4 linked regions of the Tamandua tetradactyla genome follow. The main gene of each other region encodes a partner of the protein of the gene in region 2 in a complex. Links are inferred from orthologs where the notes say so. Each region holds a gene or a part of one and is shown on either strand. Other genes may lie near its edges. The genes, in order: PPIH, SNRPD3, LSM7 and PRPF4.

Region 1 (7,165 bases), on a different chromosome or scaffold from region 2:
TGGTCTGCACTCCTGCCACATTACCTTCTCTAGAGAAAACTCGGGCCTGGTTTACAGATGGCTCAGCACGATATGCAGGTACCACCCGAAAGTGGACAGCTGCAGCACTACAACCCCTCTCTGGGGTGTCCTTGAAGGACAGTGGTGAGGGGAAATCCTCCCAGTGGGCAAAACTTTGAGCTATGCACCTGGTTATTCATTTTGCTTGGAAGGAAAACTGGCCAGAGGTGCATTTGTATACTGACTCATGGGTTGTTGCTAATGGTTTGGCTGGATGGTCAGGAACTTGGAAAGACCATAATTGGAAAATTGGTAACAAAGAGGCCTGGGGAGAAAGTATGTGGATAGAAGTTTCTGAGTGGGCAAAACATGAATATATTTGTGTCCCATGTGGATGTGCACCAGAGGGTTACTTCAGCAGAGGAAGGCTTTAATAATCAAGTGGATGAGATAACCCATTCTGTGGATACCAGTCAGCCTCTTTGCCCAGCCACTCCTGTCATTGCCCAATGGGCTCATGAACAAAGTGGTCATGGTGGTAGGGATGGAGGTTATGCATGGGCTCGGCAACATGGACTTCCACTCACCAAGGCTGACTAAGCTACAGCCACTGCTGAGCACCCAATCTGCCAGCAGCAGAGACCCACACTCAGCCCCTGATATGGCACCATTCCCCGAGGTGACCAGCCAGCTACATGGTGACAGGGTGATTACATTGGACCACTCCCTTCATGGAAGGGGCAGCGATTTGTTCTAACTGGAATAGACACATACTCTGGATATGGGTTTGCTTTCCCTGCACGCAATGCCTCTGCCAAAACTACCATCTGTGGACTTATAGAATGCCTTATTCATCGTCATGGTATTCCACATAGCATTGCTTCTGAGCAAGGAACACACTTCACAGCAAATGAAGTGCGGGAATGGGCACATGCTCATGGCATTCTCTGGACTTACCACGTCCCCCATCATCCAGAAGCAGCTGGATTGATAGAACAGTGGAATGGCCTTTTGAAAACTCAATTACAGTGCCAACTAGGTGGCAATACCTTGAAAGGCTGGGGTAATGTTCTCCAGGAAGCTGTATATACTCTGAATCAGTATCCGCGGTATGGTGCTGTTTCTCCCATAGCCAGGATCCATGGGTCCAGGAATCAACAAGGGGTGGAAATGGGAGTGGCACCACTCACTATTACCCCTAGTGATCCACTAGGAAAATTTTTGCTTCCTGTCCCTGCGACCCTGAGCTCTGCTGGTATACAGGTTTTAGTTTCAAAAGGGGGAGTGCTTCCACCAGGAGAAACAATAATGATTCCATTGAACTGTAATCTAAGACTGCCACCTGGTCACCTTGGGCTACTCATGCCCCTGGATCAGCAAGCCAAGAAGGGGACTGCATTACTGTCTGGGGTGATTGACCCTGACTATCAGGGGGAAATAGGACTGCAACTACACAATTGAGGTAAAGAAGAGTTTTCTTGGAATATGGGAGATCCCGTAGGGCGTCTTTTAGTACTACCATACCCTGTGATTAAAATCAATGGAAAACTGCAACAGCCCAATCCAGGCAGGTCTACCAATGGGTCTGAAACTTCAGGAATGAAGGTTTGGTTCATCCCACCAGGCGAAGAACCACGGCCAGATGAAGTACTTACTGAGGGTAAAGGGAACATGGAATGGATAGTGGAAGAAGGTAGTGATAAATATGAACTACGACCACGTGATCAGTTACAGAAACGAGTACTGTAATGCTGTTTTGTTCATGTTATACTATTTAAGTTGTAAGTTATCAAGTTTAAGAATGAATATTACCCAAGGACTTGCACCCTATTTTGGAGAGATTTAATGTGTTTCCAGTTATATGCAGGACAGTTAAGTATTGTCAGGTCAAAGAAAAAAATGTGCATTTTAATTTATTTAGAAATTAGGTATGGTTTAAGGTGATATATAGAGCTGCAAAGTTGACAAGGGGTGGACTGTCATGGTCAGGTTCATGTGTCAACTTGGCTAAGTGGTGGTACCTGTTTGTATGGTGGGGCAAGTACTGTCCTGTCTGTTGCGATGAGGACATCTCACAGAATTAAATCATGATCATGTCAGCTGCATCCACAACTGATTCCATTTGTAATCAGCCAAGGGAAATGTCTTCTGCAATGAGTGATGCTCAATCTAATCACTGGAAGCCTTTTAAGGATTCAGAAGAGATAGGCTCTCTTCCTGCTTCAGCTGGTGAGCCTCTCCTGTGGAGTTTGTCCAGACCCTCCACTGGAATCTTCGGCTTCACAGCCTGCCCTGCAGATTTTGGACTGTGTTCCTATAGTCACATGAGACACTTTTATAAATTTTATATTTGGAAGTGTTCCCTGTTGATTCTGTTTCTCTAGAGAACCCTAACCAATACAGCGGTTTAAAGCTATAATTACTCTACAAAAACTTGTTTTCAAATTTAATCCATTCCTGTGAGTGGGAACCTTCTGATGAGGTTATTTCAATTAAGCTGTGACCCAGCCCAATCAAGATGGGTCTTAAACCTATTACTGGGGTACTTTATAAGCAGAATTCAGGCACAGAGACAAAAAGCCACAGGGGGAGAAAGGAGAAGTTGCTTATCAATGGAACAGGAAGAGAAGGCAGAGAGCAGGAGGTGCCACTATGTGTCTTGCTGTGTGACAAGCTAATGACAGCCAGCCCCAGTATGCCACGGTCTTCAGGAAGAAAAAAAGCATCATCTTGATGACACCTTGATTTGGGCTTTTTCCCAGCTTCAAACCTTGAGCAAATAAATTCCCATTGTCTAAGCCAAACTATTGTATGATTTTGCTTGAGCAGCCCAGGAAACTAAAACAGACTCCAAGTCTTGACCCAGGTCACCTTCCTTCACCCAATTCATTGAATCTATTTATTGAATACTTATATGCTATTCAGTAGTAGGCACTGCAGTCTACAGCTGTGAACAGCCAGGCGAGTAGAGTCTGTGCTTCCATGGAGTTGATATCTTATCTGGAACGAATGTGTGTGTGGCAGGAGGTGAGATGTAGAGACAGACAATATAATTTCAGATACTGAATGGCATTAAGAACATACACTGATTGACCAATGGCTACTTTAGATTGGGTGTAAAATCTCTCCAAGGAAGTGATATCTCAGCTGAATCCTGAATTACAGGGAGCATACCCTGTCCCCACCGTTAAGATCTGGAATAGTATTTCAGGCAGGTAGCAGTACCAAAGCCCTAACACCCTAAGACAGTAACTATCTCAATAACTTTGGAACAGAAAGGAGCTTAGTAATTTGGCAAGTAGTACAAGAAAAGACCAGGTAGGTGGCAGCCAGATAATTTAGGCCTTTGTAGGAGGAATTGGATTCTATTCTAAATATGATGGGAAACCAGGAGTGGTTTTTAAGCAGAAGAGTTATTTTAAAAGCACTAGCTGCTGTGAGGGAAATGAACTGGACGGTACAAAAGTGTAAACTCGTGGCAGAATGAACTAAAATTTTAGTGTCCCGATCTCAAGGAAGGGCTGAATAAGTCCTATATGCCAAGCTGTTCTAAGCCTGAAGGATGAACAAACCAGAGCCTCTGCCTTCATGGGGCTCACAGACTAGTGGTCAGAAGGAAGAAGCAACCTGAGCGAAGGTTCAGAAGTCAGCTGCAAGAGTTGGTGAGGACCTTGGAGACTGTTCAATCCAAACCCCCTAGCCTAACGGAGACTAATTTGTACCGCACTTAGAGCCCTGTGAGTCGGGTGCCCGCGGACATTCAGAAAAAAACAAAACAAAACAAAAAAAACAGCAGCTTTTCTCCCCTGCCCTAACCCTCAGGACACCCAAGTTAGTTAACAGAATGCGAACCTGTTATCGGTACACGTCTGGGCGCGGGAGCCAGTGAGCTCACCAGGATAGGGGGCGGGCTCCAGGGGCGTGTCTCGGCCTCGGTCGCCTCTTCCGCGCCTGCGCCGCAGACGCCGACGGCAGGGCTGGGATTAGATTCGCCTGAACCCCGCGTTCCCGGCTTCTGCTTCCGGGTCGGAGCCATGGCGGTGGCAAATTCAAGCCCTGTCAACCCCGTGGTGTTTTTTGATGTCAGCATTGGCGGCCAGGTGAGACCCAGAGAGCCACCGAGCCCTGCGCCGAAGGAGAACTGCACGGGGCTAGGCAGACAGAACTGTTTAAGCCTGGGATAGCGGATTTGGGAAGCCAGAAAGTGAAATAGGACCAGAACCTACCACCCTGCCTGGTGGGAGGATGAAGGAAGAGGACTCGCGGATTCTAACCCCCTGATTGGGAAGGGGCTGGGATCAACGGAAGGTTGGGCTGTGTAGACAGAGGGGGAGCGATACCGAGCGGCACCGCGGGTGGGGAGGTGGGCCTGCTGTTCGTGCTCCTTGCTCCCAGAGGCCATCATGGTCTTAAACTGGGCCCTCTGACCATCTCCCGCTGGTTGCAGGAAGTTGGTCGCATGAAGATTGAGCTCTTTGCAGACGTTGTGCCTAAGACGGCTGAAAACTTTAGGTAAGGAGACGATCCAGCTCTACCGGATTACCCCCACCCGAAGATGGGCCCAAGTCAGTCTGCGGAAACGTCTGTGTGTCTCTGTCTCTGTCCATTCACTGCCCTTGAGACATATGATTCTTCTGGTTATCGTTTTGTCTGAATAGAACGATTTGATTGTTCCTGTGTCCGTTTACTTTGTTAATCTGCATACCTCGGTACCTGGACCTCTGGCCGGGTTTGCTGGCTCTAGGATAGCTGGCTCCAATATCTGCCTTTCCCTCCCGAGATTAGTGTTTTCGTGGATGTGTGATGATGTGATGACTGACTTGTTCACCCTTTCGTTTTCAGGCAGTTCTGCACGGGAGAATTCAGGTCAGTCTCAGTTGTGGTTGACTTTTCTTCCTGTTCCTGAGGGGTGTCCTAGAGCTGCAATGAGGGTCTTGGGGAATCGAATGATTGCCCAAGAGGCTATCTCAGGTCATTTGCCTTCCTTATCTCTCCTCGCCCCTCTTTAGGAGAGTCCTGTTGATTGGAGTGTGTGATAAACTGGAATGGCCTGTGATAGCCAGTCGTCATTCCAAATCTCTTTCTTTTTGGTTATAGAAAAGATGGGGTTCCAATAGGATACAAAGGGAGCACCTTCCACAGGTAAGTTTTTTGGCAAGCCATCTTGGGGCCCTTAAGAATTACTTCCTTGGGGCATTAGACTGTAAAGGCAGAGGAAAATACAATCAGAAACTAATTCTTGGATCTTGAGAAGAAATTTTTTTATTGACTTAGCAACTGATTTGAAGAATTATTAAAGATACCAACTCTACTTACACTCCTCCACTACTTCTTTTAAGCTATTTCAAAAAGAAGCAGCTACCCATAATTCTAATGTTCTGTTTTTTCATGTCCTTGTAGGTATGAATGCTGATTTTTAAAATACCACATTTAAGAACTAGTTCTTAAAAATGACCATGTATGATTACCTTAGGATAGTCAAATTCCTTGGGCCAGATGGAAGTGGAGTGTGGTAACACTCAGGTGTCTTTGTTTCATTTAGCATTTGCCTCAAAGTCCTCACTGTGGTTAGTAATGATATTAGCATATCGGACATTTAGAGCCATGGTCTTTGTGAGGCCAAAGCCTCACAACACAACTGTGAGGTGGTAGGTGTTATTATCTACATTCTACAGGTGAGGAAACTGAGGCTAAGAAAGGTTAAGGATCCTGTCAGGACAGTATCTAACATTTATTGAGCCCTTATGTGTATAATAGCTCATGGGTTAGCATTTCACATACATTCTCCGTTTTCTTTTTTCCCACAATTTACATCAAGCCCTTCACCTACCCTTTGCTTTGGTGATTATTTTGGTGGTTTTCCTGCAGGGCTTGAGCCCCTTCCTTTTGTTACTATTCAAGTACTGGATCATGCACTTCGGTCTACTCTAAGATGCTCTTATTTATAATTAAAACTCCTTTTTTTGTTAATAATCTTCTCAGCTCACTCTTTCCAGGAGAGAGTAATCATTTTGTGAGCGAGAATGATAAGTATTGTATTTTTTAAAAAAATTGTTAATCTGGTACTATAATGATAAAACCATGTTTCTAAACTTTAGAATCATCTCTCAGAATCCTTTATGCTCCCTCTGTTTCAGGGTCATAAAGGATTTCATGATACAGGGTGGAGATTTTGTTAATGTAAGTATTGTTCCTCTCCTATCAAAGACCTATGGGTTTGTTTTGTTGTCGCTGCTGCTTCTGTTTTGCTAGGGGACCAAGTCTTAAGTCTTGAAACAATAGCTAAGTTTGATGGGAGATAGTGATGGGGATAGTGATTCAGGATTGCCACTACTACTGCTAGATGATGGACATCAGCACTTCAATTGAATGACTTACATCCATGGTCCAAACCTCTGTCTTCTAGGTCCAGAAAGTGGACTCTCCCAACATACCTATTGATGATCAGCTCTAATCATCCCCTCAGACTTAGTTGACTTTTCTCCTGGTGGAGGTGATGGGGAGGGGAAGGGGCATCTAATTAAAGTCACATGAAGCTTATTTAGAACTCAGATGCCTTAAAATGGATAGAAGTAACTCCTTTTCCAATAAATTGAATGCTTATGTCCTTTTTTCCTTTCCATTCCTGGTATCACAGTGCCTGAAAACCTGAGTTTTTAATCAGAAGTTGATTAGTGGACAAGAGAGGTAGATAGATCTGAAAGGATGTTTCTTCTGCTCATTGGGAGAGCCCAGTGGAATATTCCTTCACTGATCAACACACCTTTCTTTTGACTAGTCAGTATGTGTCCTCTATATCAAGCTTCTCCCCCTCCCATCCCATTGGAGGGTACCAAATAAATCACCTTTTTTCTTTCTCAAACCTGTGTTTGTTCTTAACCACCCACTTATGTTCATGGCCTTGCTTTACTCATATTAATATTATTTGGTCATTGTACAGTCATATGGCTGTTTTCTTGGATCTCGGAGACTTTTTTTCTTCATGTATTTATTTAGAGTTTTTAAAGACCTCTTTCCTAGCCGATGTAGAGTTGGAAAAGGGTAAGTTTTAGGCTAAGTCGTGCTTCCAGGTGCATTTTGTCTCATCTGTAAGGTGTTGTAAAAATGGGAAAATGTCACAAAAATTCTGGAGTTGTGTTTTCTCTTAAAAAAATAGAAGATAGGG
Region 2 (7,239 bases):
TTAGAGCTGCACTGCGGTCCATACTTGTTCTGTTCAACCCTCCCTCCTTCCCCCCTCCTTTCCCTGGTATCAGACCTGTCTACACCTCCCTGCCTTTAATCCTCTATTGATATTTTCCCAAAACAAATCTCTTGCATGTCCAATTCTGTCTTGATGTGTGCATCTCAGAGTACCTGAAGTGAAATCATCTCCATTTTACAGATGAGGAAACTGAAATGCCCCAGGTCATACAATCAGGATTCAAAGACACATCTCTCACTGATTTAAAAACCCAAGCTCTTACTTGGCTGTTTAAAGAACAAAGAAACTGTGCTAGACACTTTGTAAAGTAACGCCATATAAAACCACATGAAAAATAACAAAATGCATACCAGGGACACAGGGACATGGAAGGGCACCAGGAGGCTGTTCTGCAATTTATTAACAGGGTGAAGTTCAGCAGACGAGTTCTTTAATCTCACGCTCCCTATTTTATGGATGACAAAACTATCACCAAATCTACCTACCTTACAAGGTAATTGGAAGAATCAAATAGAACCTCTTAACCCAGGGAAAAAAAAGGCAAATACACATAGTAGGTGAGTAGCTGTAGTTAGGGGAACATGTGGAGGGTAAATGGTCTCTTGAGGGGAGTAGTGGCACTTCTGTCAAACATGCCCCCAAGATATGGGAGAAAATAATTATGAGAAGGAGAGAATAGAGGACAAAAAGTTTCCAAAGAGCTCTTCTGCTCCAGACCATGATTGTCCTGTTCATGCCCACATCCCTGGCACCTCCAACAAAATGACACACGTTAAGTACTAAGTAAATAACTGCTGAATGAAAATAAATTTAAAAGAACCCACAATCATCACTCTTCTGTCCTCCAACACATAGGCCCAGGCTCCCCCACAACCTCAAGCGCCAAGCAAGATACCTGGCAGTTCATGTTGTCCTCTGCCTCAATGAGCTTCCCACGATACACCTCCCCGGTGTTCGTCTCGCATGTCACGATGTGGCCCTCAGCCTCATGCAGGACTTTAATTGGCACACCAATTGACATCTTGGAGAGAAGAGAGTTCTAAGAGCAAGAAAGAGAACAGTTAGTTCAACTTTCAGAGCTTGAGAAGGCACTGCAGACAGACCATGCCTCCCTCAAGACCTGGCACTCCAAAACGATTGGCAGAGATGCCAAAGCTGTTTTTCTTCTACTACTGAAAAAAGGAGCTTAGAGCACAGCTTGGAGGAGTCTATCCAGGAAGCACATGCAAGCTGGGTGATGGGAGAAATGGGGGGCTGAAAAGAGATAAGACTAGGGGAACGCAAAAGTACTTTCCATCTACTTTTCAGTATGGGGCATCTAGGGTACGTCCCTTTATCTTCACCAAAATAATCATTCATCAATATGGGAGTGGGGCAACTGCATATGCTGCACAATGCATCTGCCAACACACGGTTGTGGGTGATGCTTCACTTTGAGAACTATGAGCTGTCAGACACAATTGGCACTGTCAGCCCGTCACGATTTAAATTTAAAATTAACTGAAATGAAATAAAGTATATTCCTCATCCACACTGGCCGCATTCCACGTGCTTAACAGCCAGTGGCTTCGAACTGCACAGTGTGGATTTGGACCAAAGGATCCACAGACAAATCCTGGAGAGGAGGCTGCATTTTTAACTCAATCCACTGAGTATCTACTGGTGCCCCATTCACTTCACCACGGGGACTAAAGAGAAAACATTAAAGTGCTCACAAAATGACAACCTGCTTTAAACAAACAATGCTCATCTTAGAGGACAGAAAAATCAGGGCAAGGGCCTGGCTTGACCTAATTAAAAAAAGCAAAAACACCGGACTTTTTACTCTGAGGTGAGCAAAAATGAAGGTTGGAACACATCATGTGCATCCAAAAGAAAGCAAGGGGAAGGATGTACGTGGAGAGAAAAGGGGCCCTCAGGTTGGGAAAGATGGGCTCCCTGGGTGAGGACCTCTGAGTTTCAGCCTTAGGAGTTCGAATTTTGTGCTGCAGACAGCAGGGAACCAATTGCTGCAGGACGGGGGAAGGAATGACCCCATGAAAAGGAAGCAGCATTTACAGGATGAATTAAACATATAGCTCAGAAGCAGAGAGACTTGTTAAAGGTCCGGCGACAGTGTGGAAAGCACGAGGAGAAGGATTCGGTGCCTACCTTCCGAAAATGACTACGTACACGAGACTGGGGGTTGGGGGGAGGGGAAAACATTCAATTAGAGAGGATGTCGAGATTATGGCCTGGAGGCTTCGAAAACGATTGACTCGGATAGAAACAAACAAAATAAGCCAGAAAGCTGGGGAGAAGTGAACGCGAAGCTGACGCTGCGTGGCCCGGGTTTCCCGCTCTCTCCCCTCCCCTCAACCCTCGGCGCTTCTCGGCAGCGTGGCCTTCTCCAGCCCCCAACCCTCCCAGGGAGCCTCCGCCTCCCCTCACCCATTTCCAGCCTTCCCTCACCGGCTCCGGCCTCCGTTTCCTCCTCTTCTGTAACGCGGCAACTCGAGTGTCGACGAAGGCGTGAAGAGAGCGAATGGCGGGCCCCGCGCTCCCAGAATTCCCCGCGTTCCCAAAATGCCGCGCGAAGGGCCCGCCCCTCCCTTTCTCCAGTGGGGGGCGCGGTCCCGCCTCGGCTTCCTCCTCACTCCGCCGGCTGGGAAACGCAGGCTGTGGCACTATAGTTCCGGCCCCAGAAGAGAGGGGCTGATGACAGGGCCCGGGTGCCGCCGGAAACCCCGACCCTCGGGCGGGCCAGAGGAGAGGGCAGCTCGCGCTTCCAGGCACCCCGCATCAGGGACGCGATGGATTGCAAGGCGGGCATCCGGGACCTCGGCCCTCAGATCGGGGACGGCAGGCAGTGGAGCGGAGGGCCGGGACCTCCCTTCACAATTTAGTCGTTGGAACCTGGCGCCTCCAGGTAAGTGGCGCGAGGTATTCCATTGTACAGAAAGGGAAACCGAGGTATACAGTAGACTGCGGTCCGTCTGGGGGGTCTGGGCAGAGCTAGGTCTCTTGGAACCCCTGCGGCGCCCACCTGAGGCCGGCTAAGGACCGAGACCCGGCTGGGCGGGACTTGCCGCGCGGGCCGATGGCCTGGGCTTCGGGGGCGGGTCTTCCGGGAAACGGAGGCGTCGGTGTGAGGAGTGGGGCAGGGCCAACCAGCAGCCGAGCCTACGAATGGTCGAGTCGGCCGTAGCTCAACGGGCCGAAGACCTATCGGAAACCTCGGTGTGGGAAGGGCGGGGCCTCCAGGGGCACAGGCCAGGGCGGAGCCCCGGCGCGAGGCGGGGCCTCCCGGGAGGAGGCCTGGAAAGGCCGGGGCGGGGCCGGGGGCGGCCGGGCCGCCGCCTCCTCCTCTCCCCTCCGCCGTGGCGGAGGTGGCGGCGGCGGAACCGGGCCGTCGTGGGCTGCGCTCACGCCCCAGCCGAAGCCGAAGCCGCCGCCCGCGCCGGGCTGGGGCCATGGGCGTCCCGCGCCCGGGTCATGAGGACGGAGGCGGAGGCAGCGGGACCGCCGCTCGAGCCGGGTCAGTGCCTCCGCCCGAGGGCTCGGACTTCTCCCGGGGGACCGAAGGGGGACCCCGCCCCGAGGCGGGGCAGGCAGGGTCCGGCCGGGCGACCTTGGGCCGACCGCCGCCTGGGGTCGAGCATAGAGCTTCGAGTGAGACCTGTCTAGCTGGACACTCTCGCCTCGCCCCCCATCCCCGAGCCCCGAGCCCATCGGGGAGCCCTGATCTCCACGGGGCTGGGACCCCAGTCAGCTCTGGAGCGGCCCGTGGGGATTCCCGGGATATGATCAGAGGTGGAAAGCCCAGTGGGAGCCGCCTTGGAAGACCCTGTCCCCTGGGGAACTTGGAGGCAAGCTGAGGCCCAGAGTCGGGCAGGGAAGTGGCCAGAGAGGGCCGAGCTAGAGGAGGCCCCTTCACCTGGGCTCCCAGACCCCTGGGTCATCACCTTGTCTTGCTAGAATTTTTCAACCTCTAGTTTCTTCCTTCTGCCCCAAGACTGGCAGTTGGTGCCCTGGGCCTGGTTGGAGAAGTGGGGGAGGGGGAAAGGAAAGTGTTTGCAAACTCCAAGGATCATAGGAGAGGTCATGAGCAAGGGGGACCCTGACCCTAAGGTGTCAGTGGTGGAGGGGGGTAGCGGTGGCAGTCCCCTCTGGTGGCACCATGGAGCAGGGGGTCTTTTGCCCACTGGGATTCACATTGTCTCCTCTAGTTATCTAACTCTGCAGTCTTAGGCAAGACAGTTGCCTGTTCTCACCCTCAGTGGAGTCATGACTGATATTTGTAGGGGCTTCTATGAGGCAGGTACCATGCTAAGTTGTTTGTATGCATTAGCCCTCATAACAACCCAAGGAAGCAGGTTACTGTTACTATTTCCACTTCTGCAGATGAGTAGACAGAGGGTGTGAAGTTCGGCAAGTTCCCCTCCTCCCTTGCCAGGCCGGCCCTGGCTCTCGGGTGGCCTCCTGTGGCCCTCCCTGGGCTCCAGGCCTCGACATGCGGCGGCAGCGTGGGGCTTGGGCGGCTGAAGCCGTTATCGGCATGAAGGCCATGGCCTGCCTACCCTTATCATCCCCCGCAGGAGCCTCTCTGGGTCCCAATGGGCTGGCCTGCCCGTGCTAAGGCTGGGGGCAGCCCTGTGGGGGTGTTTGGTCCTGTGGGGTCTCAGGATCAAGGGGTTCTAGAGCTCAGGACAAGAGGACGGGGGGCAGCTGAGTCTCCAAGGGCCCTCGAGAGGAGCTGTGGGGTGCCACACTTGGCAGGTGGGCACAGGGGACAGAGTGACCGGGTTGAAGGCCTGGCCAAAGGTCATCCAGTGACCCCAGAGTAAGAAGACAGCTGCGAGCAGAGGGATGTGGTCTGGAAACTGGCGGGGGGAGAGGGGTGCAGGGGGGTGTGGTGCCGTGGTGACAGGCAGACCCGGGCATCTTGAGGTGAAGTCCTCACCGGAAATCACCCTCCACTCACCAGGCTTGCCTGAGCGCCCACCCTGGGCCGAGGCCTGGAGGGAGCAAAGCCACCCCCCTTTGGTGCTCCTGCCAATGCTCTGCATCCAGCGTTTCCGCCGAGGGGCCCAGAGAGGGATTCGAGCATTTGGACATTCAGAGATGGGAAAGGACATTCCAGGCTGAGGATCTACAAGGGGGAAGGCCAGGGGGTGGGGGCAGGTCAACCGCCTGGGTAGAGAAAAACCAAAAGGCAGTTCATGGTGACAGCAAGGTGTTCGTGAAAAGAGAAGCACCCCCCACCCCACGCCATGGTGGCACAGCACCTGCACCCTCCACTCAGGCAAACCCTTTGGGGGGATAATTCAGACACCTTCGAAGGTGTTGAGTTGTTGCTAAGCATTAGACTCTAGGGATGGAATGCCCCATCCAGAGGCCTGGTGCTGAGGTCAGGCCTTTGCTTGCCCAGGCCTGCCCCCGGTAGTCTTGCTGCGGCCCCTGTGAGCTGAGGGGTGGAGGGCAGAAAGCACAGTTCCCGTCCTGGGTGTGGCAGGGTGCTGAGGAGGTTGAGGGCATGGCCAGGTGAGGTTAGGACCCCCCACCCACCCAGGAGGAGGTGGCTTCTAAGCCAGGCCTCGAAGGCTGGGGAGCGGTTAGACGCAGGAGCACAGGAGCTTGGGGGCCCGCCAGTCGATGGGCTGCATAGGCAAAGGCAGAGGCTGGAAAGCCCAGGACAGGCTCCAGGACTAGCCAGTGACCCCTCCTGAGTGTGTAGGGGAGTGGGGCACTAGGACCCCCCATGATGTGGCATGGGACTGGGTTGCACAGCCCAGGAGCACCCCCCCAAGACCTTCAGAGCAGGCTGGGTTTTCATTTGCCAGGCGGGTGTCATTAATGAGTAATGTGGCTGGGAGCTGGCAATGGTGAGTTCCTTTTGGTTCTTTAGACTCTGACCTTAGTCCAAAGGAGGAGGAACCCATGGTCCTAGTGAGCCGCAGCCAGCTCACCGAGCCCAGCGCACAGCTGGTTCTCTGTCCACAGACCACCCTCTGCTCAGCCTCCGGGTCTCAGGGCACACATGGCACTGCTCCGGGCTTCCCCCAGACTCACCCCCTCCTAGGTACCCCTCACCGTCTCCCCCAGCCTAGCACCCGTTCTTCCCATTACCCTTGACATGGCCACCGAGCTCATTTCCGCTCTCCGGTCCACGTGCCAGGCACCCAGTGGGCTCTCGGGAAACATCTGTCAACTGAATGACTGAATCACATCCAAGTCCCACCCCAGTTCAGCACAAGGAAGTCAGCTGCCCACTGCACTGGCCGCCGGTGGCTGAGCCGCACCCATGGTGCCCAGCTCAGGTCCCTTCTGCTCCCCTCACTGCTGTGGTGAAGGTGGATCAGAGGGCATCCAGGGACAGCTGCAGGGCATCCCACCCGCCTGCTTTGTGGCAGGTGGCACTCGGGTGGTCCTGGGGCTTTGGTTTCAGGCAGTACCAGGGGCCTTATGAATCCAGACTTACATGTCTGCTGGGTAACCCTACGTGCCGGCCCTGGGATACAGATCAGAGGCCACACAGCCTGCTCAGGGCTCGTTCCAGGGGGCTCAGAGGGAGAGGTTTGGGGGGCTGTGCGTGCATATAATGGGGAGCTGGGCCCCACAGGGTAAGTGTCCTGTCTTAGCTCAGGCTCTTGGGCAACCAGGAGTGAGAGGGTTGGCTTGGTGGGAGCGAGGGTAGGCAAGGAGTCGTGGTATTAAGGCAGCAGCCACAACAGCACTCTCCCAAGAAGAGAGGGAACCCCCCCCCCCGTTGGGGGCCTGGCGTTTTGGGGAGGTCACTGGCTGTTACAGGGAGACAGCATGGGGGCTGAGGACTGGGCCCCACGCTGCCTCTGCAGGGTTACACAGGACTGATGATGGGGAAGCTGCTGGGGCAGCTGAGGCCAGGGTGGCCGGGGCAGCAGTGACTCCCTGTGTGTCCGTGCAGGGGACTTTGTGCAGCTGCCCGTGCCCGTCATCCAGCAGCTCTACCACTGGGACTGCGGCCTGGCCTGCTCCAGGATGGTGCTGCAGTGAGTGTGCGGCCAGCGCCTTGCCCTGGGCCGGGGGGTGGGGGGGCCCGGTGGGACTGCTTGTCCCCAGGGCGCTGCGGGGGGCCCAGCTTCCCCCCGGGCTGGTCCCCTCTTACAGAGATGGGCCAGGGGTCCTGCCGGGTGTCCAGGCCTCAGCACCACTGATCAGTCCCACGACTGGGACTGGGGACCCTCCACCCACTGGCCT
Region 3 (7,924 bases), on a different chromosome or scaffold from region 2:
ACAGCTACCTCCCAGGCTTATGGTGAGTGTCTTGGCCTGGGGCCTGACACACAGTGGGCCCCTGTGTGGGGCTGTACCCTTCATGGAACAGGAGCACTGTGGTAGGTGGGCACACCCTTGGGTGCGGGATGGGACCAGTGAATGTGATGGGAATGCCACTCCTGTGATTAAGTGATGTGATAAAGATGACGATATTTTGCAGACATAATTAAGGTCCCCAAATCCATTGACTGTTTTTTTTTGTATGCTATACAAAAAAAAAGAAAAATAATTTCATTCTTTTTCCATGTGAGTATCCCATTACTGTAGCACCATTTGTTGAATTTTTGTGTTTGTTTTGCTTGTTTGTTTGTTTTTTTGGGGGAAGTGCATGGATCAGGAATCGAACCCAAGTCTCCTGCACGGCAGGGGAGAATTCTACCACTGAGCTACCCTTGCACCCTCCAAAATCAGTTGACTTTTGAGTTAATCCAAAGGCGGATTAATTGGGGTGGGCCTGAACTAATCAGGTGAGCCCATAAAGGGAATGGACACTTTTTTTTTGATTAGAGAAATTGTAGGTTTACAGAAAAATCATGTACAAGATTCAGGGCCCCCATATATCGCCCTACTATTAATCCCTTCCATTAGTGTAGCGTATTGTTACACTTCATGAAAGACACTTTTATCTTGAAAGAATACTTTTATAATTGTACTAGTAACTATACTTGTTCTACGAGATTCTCCTGTTGGCCCTGAAGGAGCAAACAGCCAGGTGGTGGAGGGGCCACGTGGACTGGGAGCTCAGGGCACTAGACAGAAAACAGGGATCTCAGTCCAACAAATTCAAGGAACTGAATTCTGCCAACAACCAGTGAGCCTGGAAAAGGACCCTGTACCTGAGATGGCCGTGGTCCCACAGCAACACCTTGGATTGCAACCTTGTGGGAGACTCTGAGACAGAGGCCCCTGGACTCCTGACCTCCAGAAATGAAGACATCATAAATTTGTTGCTTAAGGTGCTACACTTGTGGTAATTTGGTACATAGCATAGAAAACTAAGGCAAATGTTTTGAAAAGCAAGAGTTGTATCTCATCCGTATATCCCAGTTCCAGCATAGTATAAATTGAGCCAACATTTATTTGGATTCAAATTCTATTCAAATTCTGCCAGGCACCTACTCTTTCAAGCGCTGTGTTTTCAACATCTCAGATGCTACCCAATTGCCTATACCTTGGGGAAGAAGGGATCAGGAGATCTGTCCTGTGAAATAAAGAAACTGAGGCTCAAAGTTTGCTGAATAAATGAAATGTGGTCAAAAGCTATGTCCCACACTACGCTCTGTCCTGTAACTATTTATTGAAGAGTGCTTTGAAAACTATTGCTTTTTTCTTTGCTTTGTATATATATTATACAAGAAAAAAAAGCTATGTGCTAGGTACCCTGCTAAACATGCCTTATGCCCTTTGATTATCACCACAACCTGATAAGGATTTGACAAATGAGGAAACTGAGGCTAAGAGAGGATAGTAACTTGTGCAAAGTCCCACAGCCAGCGCGTGGAAGAGCTGGGATTCTAACCTGTGCCATCTAATTGATGGGTTAGAACCAGAACCCAGAGTTAGACAGCAGAGCCACTGCCCACACAAGTTAGCAGAACTCGACTTGGTCCCTATCCTCAGGGCACTTACCATGTAGAATTTTTTAGATTCCAGTCAAAGAGTCAGCTGCAAGATTAAGCATCATATTAAGGAGCATAAACTCGCAAACTGTGATAGGCAACTACCAGGAACCTATAACCAAGGGCCTTGCCTGAGGATGGAGGTGGGCAGAGAAGGCTTCCCAGAGACAACAACCTTGATCTGGGAGAAAGAGAATGACTCTGGGAGTTATTCTGGTACAAACATTCCAGATAAAGAAAAAACACGTGCTTCACAGGTTGCACCCCCCCCCCCCCTTGCACGCCCCACCCCACAGGCCATTTTTTATCTTAAACAAAGAGGAGTCACCAGGGCAGGCCACCATGGCTCAGCGGCAAGAATGCTTGCCTGCCATGCCAGAGGACCCGGGTTCGATTCCCAGTGCCTGCCCATGTGAAAAAAAAAAAAAAAAAGAAAAAAAAGAAAGAGGAGTCAGCAGGGAGCAACTTGAGATTCAGTTTCTGTTTTTAACAGGTCCCTCTGCCCTCTGAGAGGAGACTGAAGGTGGGGCCCCATTCTCAAGCTGGGGCGAATTTGCCCCCCAGGGGAATTTGGCAATGCAGCGCAGTGATAGCTAGACTAGGTATTTGGTAGAAGTAAGACTCTGAATTTGAACAAATGTTAACTCAATCTACACCATGCGCCAGGATATATGAATGAGACACATCTTTTGCTTTTCAACACGTTTGTATTAGTTTTCAATGCTACATTAATTACCAACGACTTAAGACGTTTTTGGATGGGGGGTGGTAGTGCATGGCACTGGCATCGAATGGGTAGAGGCCAGGGATGCAAGTCAAAATCCTGAAGTGCCCAGGACCTATCAGGTCCCCAGGGTCAACTGCGGTGAGGCTGAGGAAGGGGGGGCATGAACATAGCCGGCAAACCAGTGAGGTGCTGGGGCGGCCCCCCCACCCCGGGGCGCCCCCCTCCCCCTGGCAGGAGATGGAAAGACAAGACCGCAAAGGAAGCGAGCTCGTGAATCCCGATCCTGGCCGCGCCGCTGTGACTTTGCGTTAAGTTTGTGCCTCAGTCTCCCCGTCTGCAAAATGGGCACAACAGTACCTACCTCCCGGTGTTAGGATTGAACGAGTTAGTCCATCTAAAGCGCTTAAAGCCGTGTCTGCTCATTGAACGAGCTGCCTAAGTGCAAGTTATGATAATTGATGTTACTATTTATTTTAAATTGTTCAAGGAGGGTGCTGGGTGGCGGGGTCCTCACCTTCGCGGCCTCCCTGAAACTTCACGCGGATCGTCTTGTCGATGTATTTGGACAGATCCAAAATGCTCTCCTTCTTCTTCTTCTCTTTGTCCTGTGTGGAAAGCAGACCTCGTGAGGCGGAGAGCGTGTCTCGGCCTCGCGCCGCCCGCCCCGGCACACCTCCGCGCGCTCACCGCCATCTTGCCGCCCCGCACCGCTCTGCGCAGGCGCGGCCTTCTGGCGCATGCGCGCCCCTGCGCCCCAGCGCCCCGGCGCCCCGGGAGTTGCCGGGAAACGTCGGCCGACGGCTGCGGCGGGGACCGGCTGACATGGCGGCGGCGGCGGCGGCGGCGCTGGCGCTGGCGCGGCTCGGGACCGCCTTTCTCCTTCTCGCGGCCCAGGTGAGGGCCACGCCGGGCCCGACAGTCCCGAAGGCTGCGGCTCCCCCCGTTCCGCGTCCCTCGGGCCCCTAGCAGAAACCCACCCGGCCCGGGCTTGGGACCAGCCTCGGGGACCCGCGACCCCGCGCTGGCGGCCCTCGGGGTCTGGGGACCGGCCGTGACCTTGCGGGCTGTTCTCTGGCCTGTACTCCTTCCCCGTCGAGGAAATCCTTCCCAGTTACAGCGTCACTCCGTCCCAGCCGGGGTTGTAGTTTGCGGGACCCCGTCCCTCCCTTCTGTACGGTTCCGCTTGTCGGTCTCGGAGTCACCGTCCGCCCCTCCCCGGCTGCGTGGCCTGGGGCAGGTGGCTGCCCCTGTCCAAGCCTCAGTTTTCCCGTATGCAAAAACGGGCATGATGCTAGCACTCCTCCCAGGGATTGTGGTCAAGGCAGGGCAGGACCGTAGGCCTGGCAGCGTCGGGGAGCGAATCCCCGCTCCCTTTTACTCTCTGACCTTGGACAAGGGAGTTCCCTCTTGGGGGTCAGTTGCTTGTCTGTAAAAGGGGGGATGAGAGGAGAGTTTTGTGGGTTCATTCCTATGCTACAAGGAGTGACCAGCCTGCTGGGCTCAGTATGTTGTTATTTAGCGTTAAGGGGCTCTGGTTCTAAAGGATAGAGTGGACAAGGAGGTAGCTGATGTGTATTGTCATAAACTCATCTTTCCAAACTCTCCCTTCCTCCCAAGCGCTGCAGCCCAGGCAAAAGTGCCCCTAAGAGCTCTCCAGATGCGCTGGTGGGCAGTTAACCTTGACTCCTCTCTTGCAATTCTAACTTAAAAGGTCTTTCGAATCTCTCTGCTCCTCTCAGTCTGCTTCTCTCTGCTGTAGTTCCTGTCAGATCTCCCTTTGGCCACTGTTGACTTCCCCCAGCAATCCCCTACCAAGCCATTTGCAACACAGCAGGAGCAATCTTTTCCAAATGTGTGTCAGCTCTGGTCACTTCCAGATGAGAGCTTCCAGCGGCTTCCTGTCTCATTGAGAAAGGCCTTTCTTTGTGATCCGGCTGCTCTGGGAACTTCCCTCCCTTTTCAGCTCTCCCTAATGGGGAGGCATTTATGGAGGACAGCTTGAGCTCTAGTCGCTTTTATAGCCCTCAAATACCCCTCCTCCACTTCTGGCCCTGCAAGTCCTGCAGTCTCACAAGTGCAGAGATACCTCTTCCCCAGCTGCTTCAGGCCCTCCCCTTCTTCCCCCATTGTAGCCTGATCACACTCTGTTTTCTGGCCTTCCTCACCAGTTCGTGAGCAATTTGAATAGGGGAATTTGAGCTCTGAAGATCTTCCCAATGAGAGAAAAGCAGGAAATGGGCAATGCATTATGGGAATGCCATGGAGGGGATGACCCGGAAAGGCTTTTCAGAAGCAGTGACCCCCTAGGAGTGTTTTGAAGGATGCGTAGGAGTTTGCCAGGTTGGGAAGGGAGAGGCTGTTGTAGGCAGTGGGAACAGTGGGTGAGAAGGCTGATGACTTATTTTAGGGACTGGTGAGGGGGCTTGCTATGTTTGGTGCATAGGGTGGTATAGGTATGAGGGGAGCTCACCTACCCCCCCTGGAGGAGGTGTCGCTGTGAAGGAGGCACAGATGGACCTGGAATGGAGGAAGGGAATGGGGTCCCCCAGCAAAGCTGCAGGCAGAAGGCACAAGGCAGGGCTGGAGTTCAGGGCATGGGCCAGACAGGTTAGAACCAGATTCTGAGGGCTCTTGTTGCTGAGGTGTTCATGCTTTGCCCTGAGCATGGGGAGCCCAGGAATGCTCCTGAGGAGTGCCAGGGGGACGTGGCCCTACCCTCCCAATAGCCTAGTTGCAACAGGCATACCAGGGAGCCCATGCTGACTGCGGCTCTGGGGCTCTGCCCACTTGGCTTCTGAGTCAGGGCAGTGGAAGCGGGGGTGTTTGAGTCCTGACTCCCAAGACTGGCTGTCTTGGAGATTGCTTGATGATGATCCCACATTCACTTGCCACCATTTGGTAACCCTGGACAAGTGAGTCGGCCTCTCCAGATTATATCCCCCTTCTCAGTAACAACAAAGCCTGTGAGAGGAGATGCAGAGGCCTGCGGGGCTGGTTACTCAGGCCTGAGTTGATCAGAGATCCCCTCTGCAGCCCCCACAAGCTCCCTTTACCACCCCTCTGTAGCCCCCTCACCCCACATGGACCCTCCACAGCCCCTCCTGCCCCTACCTCCCCCCTCCAGTGTCCCCCTTCACCCTGCCACCATGACATCTTTTTCCAAAGTTCCTGCATCCTTGTTTTTCACCCTTTCCTGAAATATCTCTTAGAAGGAGTCCGCCCCATAGCCCTGATGCATCAGTTTTTTTTAAAACTCTCCTGAGGCTTATGTGTCCATGGAGCCGCTACAGAGCCCCTGAGTGTGTGTTAGCTGTGAGGTGTTGGAAGGCTGTCTGTCTCGGTTCTCCCAATTCAGAATGATTGTACGAGAACTCAGAATCTGCATCCTTTTGAAGAACCTTCCCTGGTTCTTTTAGCTCAGCAGGTGAGAAAAACTATTCAAGGCAAGAGCTTGCCTTCTCTGAGGTTTGATAAAATCACAGTTTTTTTTTTTTTGAAGGCAGTTCTTCAAATTTTGGGAAGGAGAACCTGTGAAAGCTGTTTTGTATTCTTAAGTCACCTTTTTCGAAGGAACAGTTTCTATCAATTTTCATTTTACACAATGAAAGCTTTTCCTCTAAAAGCCCGTATCCCACAAAATGGGCGTCAGCAGCTGTGTCTTGCGAAGCGCTCAGCAGTGGATACTTTGGGTGCCATACGTCTGCATGTGCCCTGTTACAGCCGCTGGACTCTGCTTTTGCATTCAGAAGCAGTGAGAGGGCGTGGCTGTGTGCCTGTAAAACTTTTATTTACAGAAGCAGGGGGCTCTGCATTTGGCCTGTGGGGTGTTGGTTTCTGACCTCTGCCGAGGAGCAGACTTGCTGACAGCAAGGCCCTGTCTGTGGCCGTGACCTACTTGAGTGGGCATCTGGCCAGCACAGACTCCGGGCCCCCTGCTGTAGAGGGGTGGCCTCTGGGGCGAGTCTGGGAGGAAGGGGCTCCTAGTTCTGCCTCAGGGTCAAGAGGTACCCAGTGGTTTGCCAGTGGGAGAGGCTGGGGGAGTGGGAAGCCACCTTAGTGCAGCACCCCTGTCCACAACTTCAGGCCCTCCCTTCCCTCCTGAGGCTGCAGGGATGGTGGCCCCCTGCCCAGCTTCTTCAGGGCAGGGCACCTTCAAAACTCAACTTCTCTGGGTGTGCCCCTGACCAGCACAGTGAGGATGGGCCTGATTCTCATTTGATGGCTGGCACCAGGGGTCCGGCTCCTGCCTGAGATGACAGAGAAGGCACTGCGCCTGAGCTGGTGTCTGGGGTCCCTGTAGCCCCTCGCTTGGGGCACATGGTCAGCAGGCTGCTGGGGAGGGGCCAGGCTTGGGCCTGGGGCTCATGTGTGTGGTCTTGTGGGGCTTTTCCTCTAAAAGCCCATATCCCACAAAACGGGGGTTGGCAGGCATGACAGGAGGAGCTCCCGATGTGATTTTACTGAGTCCCGGAGCCAGGGGCCCATGTGCATCAAGACCCCTGGTCTGATCCGAACCCCTCCCCAGGCCCGCTTTGCCATGTCCCTTGAAGGCCCAGCCCTCCTTAACCTCCAGGAGCCTCCTGTCTGTGTTCCTATCCCTTGTATGTACCTCAGGTGGGCAGTTGCTGGCTGTTTGTACCTGGGCAGGTGCTCAGGGGGACCCAGAGGACCTTCCTCATTGCTGGCCCTTTGGGGCCCAGCCAGGCTCTACCTGGGGATTCTTCAGGGCAGGCACTAGGAGACAGCCAGGGCTGGGGAGGGCCACCTTGGGGGATCCCCGCAGTGTCTAGCATAAGGCTTCTCTCCTGGGATCCCTCATCCTACTGGTAGACCCTGGGGAGCTGCCCAGACCGAGAAGCTCCCCATTGCAGGTGGGGCTAGGGGCTCTGTGGGCTGTTTGGCTGGAGCCGAGTGTGCGGAAGGGGAGTGGGGAGGAAGGTTGGAGGGGTCCCCAGGCACCTGCTGCTGTCAGGGGAGGCCGGGGGTGGGGAGGAAAGTTGGGGGTGGTCCCCAGGCACCCACTTCTGTCAGGGGAGGCCAGGGGTGGGGAGGAAGGTTGGAGGGGTCCCCAGGCACCCGCTGCTGTCAGGGGAGGCCGGGGGTGAGGAGGAAGGTTGGAGGGGTACCCAGGCACCCGCTGCTATTAGGGGAGGCCGGGGGTGGGGAGGAAGGTTGGAGGGGTCCATAGGCACCCGCTGCTGTCAGGGGAGGCTGGGGGTGGGGAGGAAGGTTGGAGGGGTCCACAGGCACCCGCTGCTGTCTGGGGAGGCCGGGGGTGGTGCAGTTCAGGCCGTGGAGCTACTGCAGTGACCAGTTCCCACTCCGGGAGAGCTGAGGCAGGGACAGCGTCCACGGCCTGCTGTTCCCTATGAGCCTGGAACGATGAGATACTGTGAAGTGCTCACCTGTCTGGAGTGGAAGTGCACCTGCCAACCTTGTCCCCGAGGCAGCCATCCCGGCACTGCCCCTTCTTGCCGCACTGGAGGCGTTTCCAGTGGCCGCTTAGCCGGGGAGCTGGTGTCACCACTAAAGTGAA
Region 4 (7,647 bases), on a different chromosome or scaffold from region 2:
GTTCAAGCCACCCCTTATTTCATCTGGCAACCTCAATCTCATACCTAACATAAACACTTACCTTGGATGAGATCAGAAAGTGAGAGTATAGACACTTCTAGCAAGTGAGTTAATTAACTAGGCTTTCTATCCAGAAGACAAAAATAGAAATGCTATTAACAATCACCAAAGCTATTATCTAAAACAGCACCAGTATAAACACACTTACAAATGTTACTAGTCAAGTGAAAACGATATTTTTGTGACTTTAAGGCTTTTTGGATAACTGAGCAACTAGTTTTAAAAACCACACCAAATATGAGCATTTGGATACAAAAATGAGAGGTACAATGATGAGGCAGTTAAGTTTAAAAACAGTAGTAAAGGTTAAAGTTGCTACACTAAAGGGCATGTGTGTAAAAAAACATGTCTGGGAGGATCAACGAAGTTCTTTCACATGTACCCTAGAACAGTCAATGTTTAATCCTAATCCCATTCTGTAAAGGCAGTCGTTTCTTCTAATCCCTATTCAGTACTGTATGTTTGAAACTTAAATTAGATTTTTCCCATGGAGTTGTGACTCGATCAAGAGTGGTTGTTAAACTAGATTAGGTGGAGATGTGTCACCACCATTCCATGTGGGTCTTGATTAGTTTATTAGAATCCTATAAAAGAGGAAACATTTTGGAGAAAAGGGGAGATTCAGAGCGAGCACAGAACAACGCCCGAGTCACGAGGAAGCCACAACAGAGAATGCCACAGAACCACAAAGCAGAGAGCCCTCCAGCCAGTGACTTTTGGAGATGAAGGAAAACACCTCTGGGGAGTTGGAGAGGCGACTAGCAGATGCTGCCGTGTTTGCCAGGTGCCCTCCCAGCTGAGAGAGGAACCCTGACCGTGTTCGCCATGCGCCTTTTCACATGAGAGAGAAACCCTGAACTTCATCGGCCTTCTTGAATCAAGGTATCTTTCCCTGGATGCCTTTGACTGGACATTTCTAGGGACTTGCTTTAATTGGGACATTTTCTCGACCTTAGAACTATAAACTAGCAACTTATTAAATTTTCCTTTTAAAAAGCCATACTGTTTCTGGTATACTGCATTCTCGCAGCTAGCAAACTAGAACACCTTCTGTACTGTTTGAATTTCTTATGACTAATGTATAGTTTTATATTAAAAATATAGTGGATTTCTACTTACCTACATGGATAGACATGTAGACTGAAAAGCACAGGTTACAAAACATTTTGCATATCATGGTTTCATTATGAAAAATAAATATGTTTTTATAACTACTAAAATTCTCAGAAACCAATTAATAAAGATTATAAAATTTTCTACACTAATTTTTTTTTTTTTAACATGGGCAGGCACTGGGAATCGAACCCGGGTCCTCTGGCATGGCAGGCAAGCATTCTTGCCTGCTGGGCCACCGTGGCCCACCCTATACTAATTTTTTTAAAAGAAAAAAATAACTTTTATAATTAAGATATTTCATGAATACACAAATCTGTGATGATATTGCGAGCCACTGAGATTGTATACCATGTATGGACTGTATGTGTATGAAGATTTCTCAATAAAAATATTTAAAAAAAAGAAGATATTTCATTTTGGATGAAAATTTAAAAAGGGGGAACATATGAGCCACAGTTGCTCTAAATTGATACCTGAACTATGCTAAATCTCCAGAAAGCAAAGGGAATCAATTTGAATCCAAATACACAATGAATAAATTCATGATAGAACTACTAATAATTCATGGAAGAAAAATGGCATGAAAGGCTGTAAGAAAAATGCCCCCTGGATGATGGTAAAAGGGGCAGGCAAAGTATGGCCCTAGACATGCAAGTTTAAGAGCTGAAATTTTTTGATACTGTAAAACTAGTGATCTAGGTCTAGAAGGTAAAATTTGTAGGTCTAAGCTATTTCAGAAAAGGTGAGCATCAAAGATAAAGATGAACTCACAGTTTGCATCTTACCAGAGGTTATGTTAATATTTCCTGCTTCTATTCCTGCTTTAAGTCCTTCTTTTCCCAAAATTCCAGACTCTCCTTTGGCCAGACGCTCTCTCTCCTTCTCTTCCAAACTTCCATAATAGATGTGAGGTTTCTTTACAACAGGGGCAACTAAGTCATCAGATGCCTTTGATGTTTTGGTTGCCTGCTAAATCAAAGAACTGGATTAATTTAAGGCTTAATATTAGCAACCTATTAGGATTCCCAGGATCTTATTCTGAACGTCAGTCTTATTTCCTCTCCAAATAAAGGGACAAGTTGGACACCAATTAAGATATTCCTCCCCAATTTGGGGGCATATTTCGGTCCCTCAAACACTGAAGTTTTGCAGACAGGAAGAGGTGGATAAAGTTAGTGAATTCCTCTTGGAGATTTTTCTATTAGCAGTTTGCAGTGGAACCTGTTCTTTCGGCTGCAAGTGCAATCTCTTCTTAGGTTTTAGAATCCGTCCTTGATTATTGCTCATCACGGGGAAATGGCAAGAATACTGAAATCCCAACCATGGCATAAGGGACACAAAGTTACAATGTTCCTGGTGTTTATACCTCAAACGTTTTCGGACATGAGGCAATAGATTTGGAGTCAGAAAGCCTCATTTCAAGTAACAGGTCTACACAGACGTAAATCTTCCTGTTTCAGGTCTCTGTTTTTGGACCAGTGTTGGAAGAAGTGTTTACCGTTCGGGGATGTACAGAGAGAGGTGCAAAAGAGCTAAGGCATAAAGAGTACGTGCTTAGGGACCAGTCAAACTCTGCGATGCTCCCGCAGCCTGCCTTCCTCAACCCTCTACCACCGTGGCCCGTTCCCTAACGGTCCATCCCGCAGAGACCACACCCCTCTCACGCTTCCTCCCGGGGAGCTGAGATCCCAAGTTCTGTACCGTGGAGGAGGCTCGAGAGGAAGCCATGCTGGATTCGGAAGCCGCGAAGTTCCAGCGAAAACCAAGATCGGCGTTTCAGCCAGTCCACCGCGCGCATAGCAAAGCGGAACTGCGTCCCGGGCAGGAACTGAGCGCACGACCGACGCTGCGCCCCGGATCGGCGCGCGGCATGATGGGAGTCGTAGTAGGACAGATTCAGGTCACGTTGAGGGGCGTGACCCGTAGAACCTCCGAGAAAAAAACGCGGGAGTCGAGGATCTGCGGGAGAGAGGCTCAGAGGACTCTGGGAAGTGTAGTCCTCTTGGCTTGGCGGTCGATTCCGGTGGGCGCAGAGGTTCCCGGAACTGTCACGAGCTGATCCAACTTGCAAAGAGGTAGGTGCGTCGAGTGGCGCAGCTCCGGGCTGAACTCTGGAGCGAAACGAGGGCTTCCAGGGCCCGCAGTGCCTCCCGGGCGTAGGGGAGACTTTACTGGTCCTGGAGGGGAGGACCACGTTGTCATGGAAACCTTAGCTCCGGACCCCTGGCTTTGGGGAAGGAGGGCTGTTCTCGTCGATCCAGAAGCTCTCTCAGGGGCTCCCTCCGGACTGGGTAAATTTGTAGCGGATTTGGGCAGCAGCGGGAGATTGAGCTCGAGGAACCCTCCAGTCCCACAATAAAATATGGACCCGGCCGTGGAAACACGGCCTGATATTGTTGATTTTCAAACGGTCTTTGTATCAGATTAAGAGTGAGATGATGGTTATGAAGGCGTCAGGTAATCTGTACACAAGAAACTCTAAGCACGGCCCTGTGCCCAGCTGGAGTATCAGAGATGAATAACACAAAGTTTTTGCTCCCAGTTGGGGTATGACGAGCATTCTCAAAATATCGGTGTTGCTCGAGTCGGACTGAGGCGCTCGCCTCCCCACTAAGAAAAATATTACAATAATAACAACAGCTTATTTATTGAGCATTTAATAAATGCCAAATTATGTGCCAGGAGCTTAATCTGCATTAAGTCATTCAATTCTTACAACAGAGTACAGATACAGATGAGGAAACTAAAGCCTAGTAGGAGATGAGGCAGAGACCAGTGGGATTTAGAACCTCTGTCTTTTTCGCCTCCAGTCAGCGCTTTTACCTACGTACAATATTACTCTCTACTGCCCCCTAGTGGCGATCTTTTCAGTTTGGCGAAAAGTCAAACTACATAGCAGTTTTTTCTATTTTAAGTATTCACGCCTTTATGTTGTCTTTGGAAGTTTGGCTTCTTCTGCCACTTGCTTACATTGGAATCTGGTAGAAAATAGTATCTTATTTAGTAGAAAGAAACTTGAAATGTAATGAACCAGCGTTTTGTACTGACCGTAACTTTTACCTGTATCTGCCCCACTCTTGGTGGGAGGAGTGAACATTTCATCCTTCGTGTATGTCATAAGTCCCTAGTTACATCCGAGATACATGTAATAATGATTTATATTTGTACTTTAAAATGCCTTTCGCTTACATCATTCTCATTTAGTCCTCACGCTGTGATGTACATATGGTTATTATAGGAGGCTGACGTTGTTAGCTAAGTTGAACAGCTTGCTTTGACTTCTTATATTCAAAATAGGGATAATTTTTCCAGCTTCATGGAGTTTCAGTGGAGATTAAAATAAGAATGTAAAGAATGATCGTGGGAAAACTTAGCATGGTGTGTAAGAGAAGTTCATTTCCTTTCTCTCTTTATTTGGATCTCTGATTTTATTCAACAGACTTTTACTGACTGTGTTATTGAGTGCATCCATTAGATACTCTCTGCTGGATACTGTGGATAGTAGAAAGATCATCAGAAGTTAAACTCAGTTGGGGAAGTTTGGTATCCTTCTCAAAAAATGTTTGTTACTTTGTTAACACAGCATTACTTGGGTTCTCAGACTATAGATGCTCTCTTGAAACTCTTTGCATACTTGTTCTCTCTGCCTGGACTGTCCTTAATCCCCTTTCTCTGTCTGCACTTTAGAAATCAGTTAAGACATTGTCTCCTCCAGTAAGCCTTCCCGAACATCCCTGTCTACTCTACGCTCAGCCCAGCCTGGATCAGTTGCCTCTGTGATGCCATTTCATTACTCTCATCAGAGTCCTTATTTTATGATATGATTATTTCCCATTATGATTCCCATTATGATATGATTATTTCTCATTGGTTTTCCTCACAAACTATGTGTTTGCTGAATGAATGACTTACCCATTTAGACCCTGAGGATAACCCTGTCAATTGGTGAGTTAGAGGAACTTTTCATGAGATTTAGCAAACTGATTTTAGCATTCAGGACTGATCACAAATCTCCCAATAATTCTCATGTAGAGTGGATTAAATTTAATGGCTGTTCCACTTTCCCTGTAACTATATTGAATTAAGATGTGACATTTCAACTTCATTCGTATATTTCTTTGAATGTGATTGGAGTCTGAGATTAAAGTAATCATTGCCTAGAATTCTCTCTTATAGGCCTGCTATTTTAAGTTCTTGAAGAGTTTTTAGAAATTACAGAGTTGTGGTTTTCATCATGTAATAAAAATGTAAGCCATACATTTAAAAACTGAGAGGTCTGTGTGAATCCAAATGAGTCTTTTTCACCACATTCACTTTAGGGTTTGTGCTTACAAATTGACCTATGTGTGTGGCTGAGACTTATCCTCTCCAGATTTCCTCTTGTCTATTATTTTTAACAGCTAATAATTCACTGGTTTGGCCCTTAGTGTTGATTTCAGTATGCTGCGACGAAAACCAACCCGCCTAGAGCTGAAACTTGATGACATTGAAGAATTTGAGAGCATTCGAAAGGACTTAGAGGTAAGAGTACAACCTTCGACTCCTTAGGAATATTTAAAAAGATAACTAACTTCAGAACCTCAGACTTAATACCAGTAGCTTATTTGAAATCTCTCTGTGGATGCTTTCTAGGCATTTCAAACTTGATATATTAGTTCCCTAGGACTGCCATAACAATTACCACAAACTTGGTGGTTTAAACAACAGAAATTTGTTTTCTCACAGTTTGGTGGCCAGAAATCTGAGATTAATATCACTGGGCCAAAAACAGACTGTTGGCAGGGCCATACTTCAGAGGATATAGGGAAGAAGCTGTTGCGTTCTAATTCTAGCTTTTGTTGCTCTGGCATTCCTTGACTAGTGGCTACATCACTTCAATCTCTGCTTCCATGGTCACATTTCCTCTTCCTCTTCTGTGTGTGAAATCTCCCCCGCCTCCCTTTATTGGTTTGCTAAAGCTGCCAGAGTGCAATATATCAGGAATGAAATGGCTTTTAAAAAGGGAATTTATTAAGTTGCAAGTTTACAGTTCTATGGCCATAACAGCGTCCAAACTAAGGCATCCTGAGAAAAATAACATGACTCCAGAAGGGGCCGAAACATTCGGTGTTTCTGTCAGCTGGGAAGGCACATGGTGACGTCTACTATCTTTCTTTACCTGCTTCTCCTCTTAAACAGCTTCCCTGGGGGTGTTTTCTTTCTGCATCTCCAAAGGTCTGTTGTCTGTGTCAGCTCTGATACTTTTTCCAAATGGTTCCCTATTAAAGGACTCCAGTAAACAACCCCACCTTGAATTGGTGGAGACACATCTCCATAGAAACCACCTAATCAAAAGGTACCACCATAAACAATGCTGAATCAGGATTAGAGAACATGGCTTTTTTGGGGTAAATCACAGTTTCAAACTGGCACATTCTACTCTCTGGATCCCCAAAACACATATCTTTCCATGTACAAAATACATTCATTAATTATAATATCACAAAGTCTTAAACCATTTTAGAAACAAGACAAATATAATACAAAGTCAGAAGTAGTACAAAATCTCATAAAAGTCAGTTACAGGCAGGATCTATTCTAAGGCAAATTTCTCCTCTGGCTCTGGACCTGTAAAACTCAGAACAAGTTATCTGCTGCCAGTATACAAAGGAAGGACAGTTGTAGGATAAATATTGCCATTTCTATAGGAAAAAGTTGAAAAGAACACTGGGCTCACTGGACCCAAACAATTCTATAAACCTGCAGGGCAAACTCCAGTAGATTTCAAAATCTAAGAATCATTTATTGTTGGGGCTTTAGAAAGTAGCAGTCCCACCCTTTCCAAGGGCTATACAGCAGCCCTGCTATTTTCTCAGCTCCACTCTCTCCAAACATTGGGGCAGCACCTTGGGCTCTTTGCCATCTCCAAGGCACATGTGCAACCCCCTAAGAACAATAGGGAGGCAGCAAAATTCTTCCTAATCCCCGAAGAATGTGCTCCACCCTTTCTGAGGCCTGAGGCACCAAAACTCTTCTTGAACATTGAGGAAGACTCACCCTCTGCCTTTGGGGCAAACTCACACTCTCCAAGTGGGTCTGCTTTCCTGGCTGCAGATCTTAGCTTCCATGATTCTGCCATTGAAGTTATTTTTCCTTCAATTTGTCCCTTTTAGTCCACACTGGCAGTGGTTCCTTTTATATAGATCCCACAACACTCTTGTTGGTTTTCTATGTAGTATGCAGGGATCATAACCATCAGACAATAGGACTTTCCATAAATCCTTTCTGGATAACTCCATCTCAAATTCTCACTTGTCTTGTAATCACTGACTGCTTCCATATTTGGTTCTATGGGGCACTATTCTCTGCGGTTTCTCCCTTTCTGGAAGCCCAGAATTTTCCAGACTACCAATTTCTGGTTTCTTTGTACCCAGGAGTTCAGTTTTCAGATTATCTCTTTCCTGTCACATTTCACTATAAGCTACATTTCCA

What was found.
Region 1: SNRPD3 (region 2) and PPIH share a complex: the UniProt entries of both Homo sapiens proteins name them as parts of the U4/U6-U5 tri-snRNP complex. The link is inferred for Tamandua tetradactyla from reciprocal best matches to the Homo sapiens genes SNRPD3 and PPIH.
Region 3: SNRPD3 (region 2) and LSM7 share a complex: the UniProt entries of both Homo sapiens proteins name them as parts of the U4/U6-U5 tri-snRNP complex. The link is inferred for Tamandua tetradactyla from reciprocal best matches to the Homo sapiens genes SNRPD3 and LSM7.
Region 4: SNRPD3 (region 2) and PRPF4 share a complex: the UniProt entries of both Homo sapiens proteins name them as parts of the U4/U6-U5 tri-snRNP complex. The link is inferred for Tamandua tetradactyla from reciprocal best matches to the Homo sapiens genes SNRPD3 and PRPF4.

Annotation. Positions count from the first base shown.
Region 1 is NC_135328.1:182,093,794-182,100,958, reverse strand, and holds the start of PPIH (peptidyl-prolyl cis-trans isomerase H), read left to right. Parts: upstream 1-3,958; 5' UTR 3,959-4,034; coding exon 4,035-4,100; intron 4,101-4,447; coding exon 4,448-4,512; intron 4,513-4,842; coding exon 4,843-4,866; intron 4,867-5,097; coding exon 5,098-5,142; intron 5,143-6,137; coding exon 6,138-6,180; intron 6,181-7,165. UniProt on the Homo sapiens protein: PPIase that catalyzes the cis-trans isomerization of proline imidic peptide bonds in oligopeptides and may therefore assist protein folding. Participates in pre-mRNA splicing.
Region 2 is NC_135331.1:25,394,294-25,401,532, reverse strand, and holds the start of SNRPD3 (small nuclear ribonucleoprotein Sm D3), read right to left. Parts: upstream 3,096-7,239; 5' UTR 2,473-3,095; intron 1,061-2,472; 5' UTR 1,043-1,060; coding exon 917-1,042; intron 1-916. Other genes in the region: protein GUCD1, read left to right, coding at 3,496-3,538, 6,947-7,031. UniProt on the Homo sapiens protein: Plays a role in pre-mRNA splicing as a core component of the spliceosomal U1, U2, U4 and U5 small nuclear ribonucleoproteins (snRNPs), the building blocks of the spliceosome.
Region 3 is NC_135337.1:80,542,380-80,550,303, reverse strand, and holds the start of LSM7 (U6 snRNA-associated Sm-like protein LSm7), read right to left. Parts: upstream 3,106-7,924; 5' UTR 3,082-3,105; coding exon 3,076-3,081; intron 2,994-3,075; coding exon 2,903-2,993; intron 1-2,902. Other genes in the region: SPPL2B (signal peptide peptidase-like 2B), read left to right, coding at 3,211-3,282. UniProt on the Homo sapiens protein: Plays a role in pre-mRNA splicing as component of the U4/U6-U5 tri-snRNP complex that is involved in spliceosome assembly, and as component of the precatalytic spliceosome (spliceosome B complex).
Region 4 is NC_135328.1:33,883,641-33,891,287, forward strand, and holds the start of PRPF4 (U4/U6 small nuclear ribonucleoprotein Prp4), read right to left. Parts: upstream 3,044-7,647; 5' UTR 2,905-3,043; coding exon 2,878-2,904; intron 2,146-2,877; coding exon 1,962-2,145; intron 1-1,961. Other genes in the region: anaphase-promoting complex subunit CDC26, read left to right, coding at 5,617-5,697. UniProt on the Homo sapiens protein: Plays a role in pre-mRNA splicing as component of the U4/U6-U5 tri-snRNP complex that is involved in spliceosome assembly, and as component of the precatalytic spliceosome (spliceosome B complex).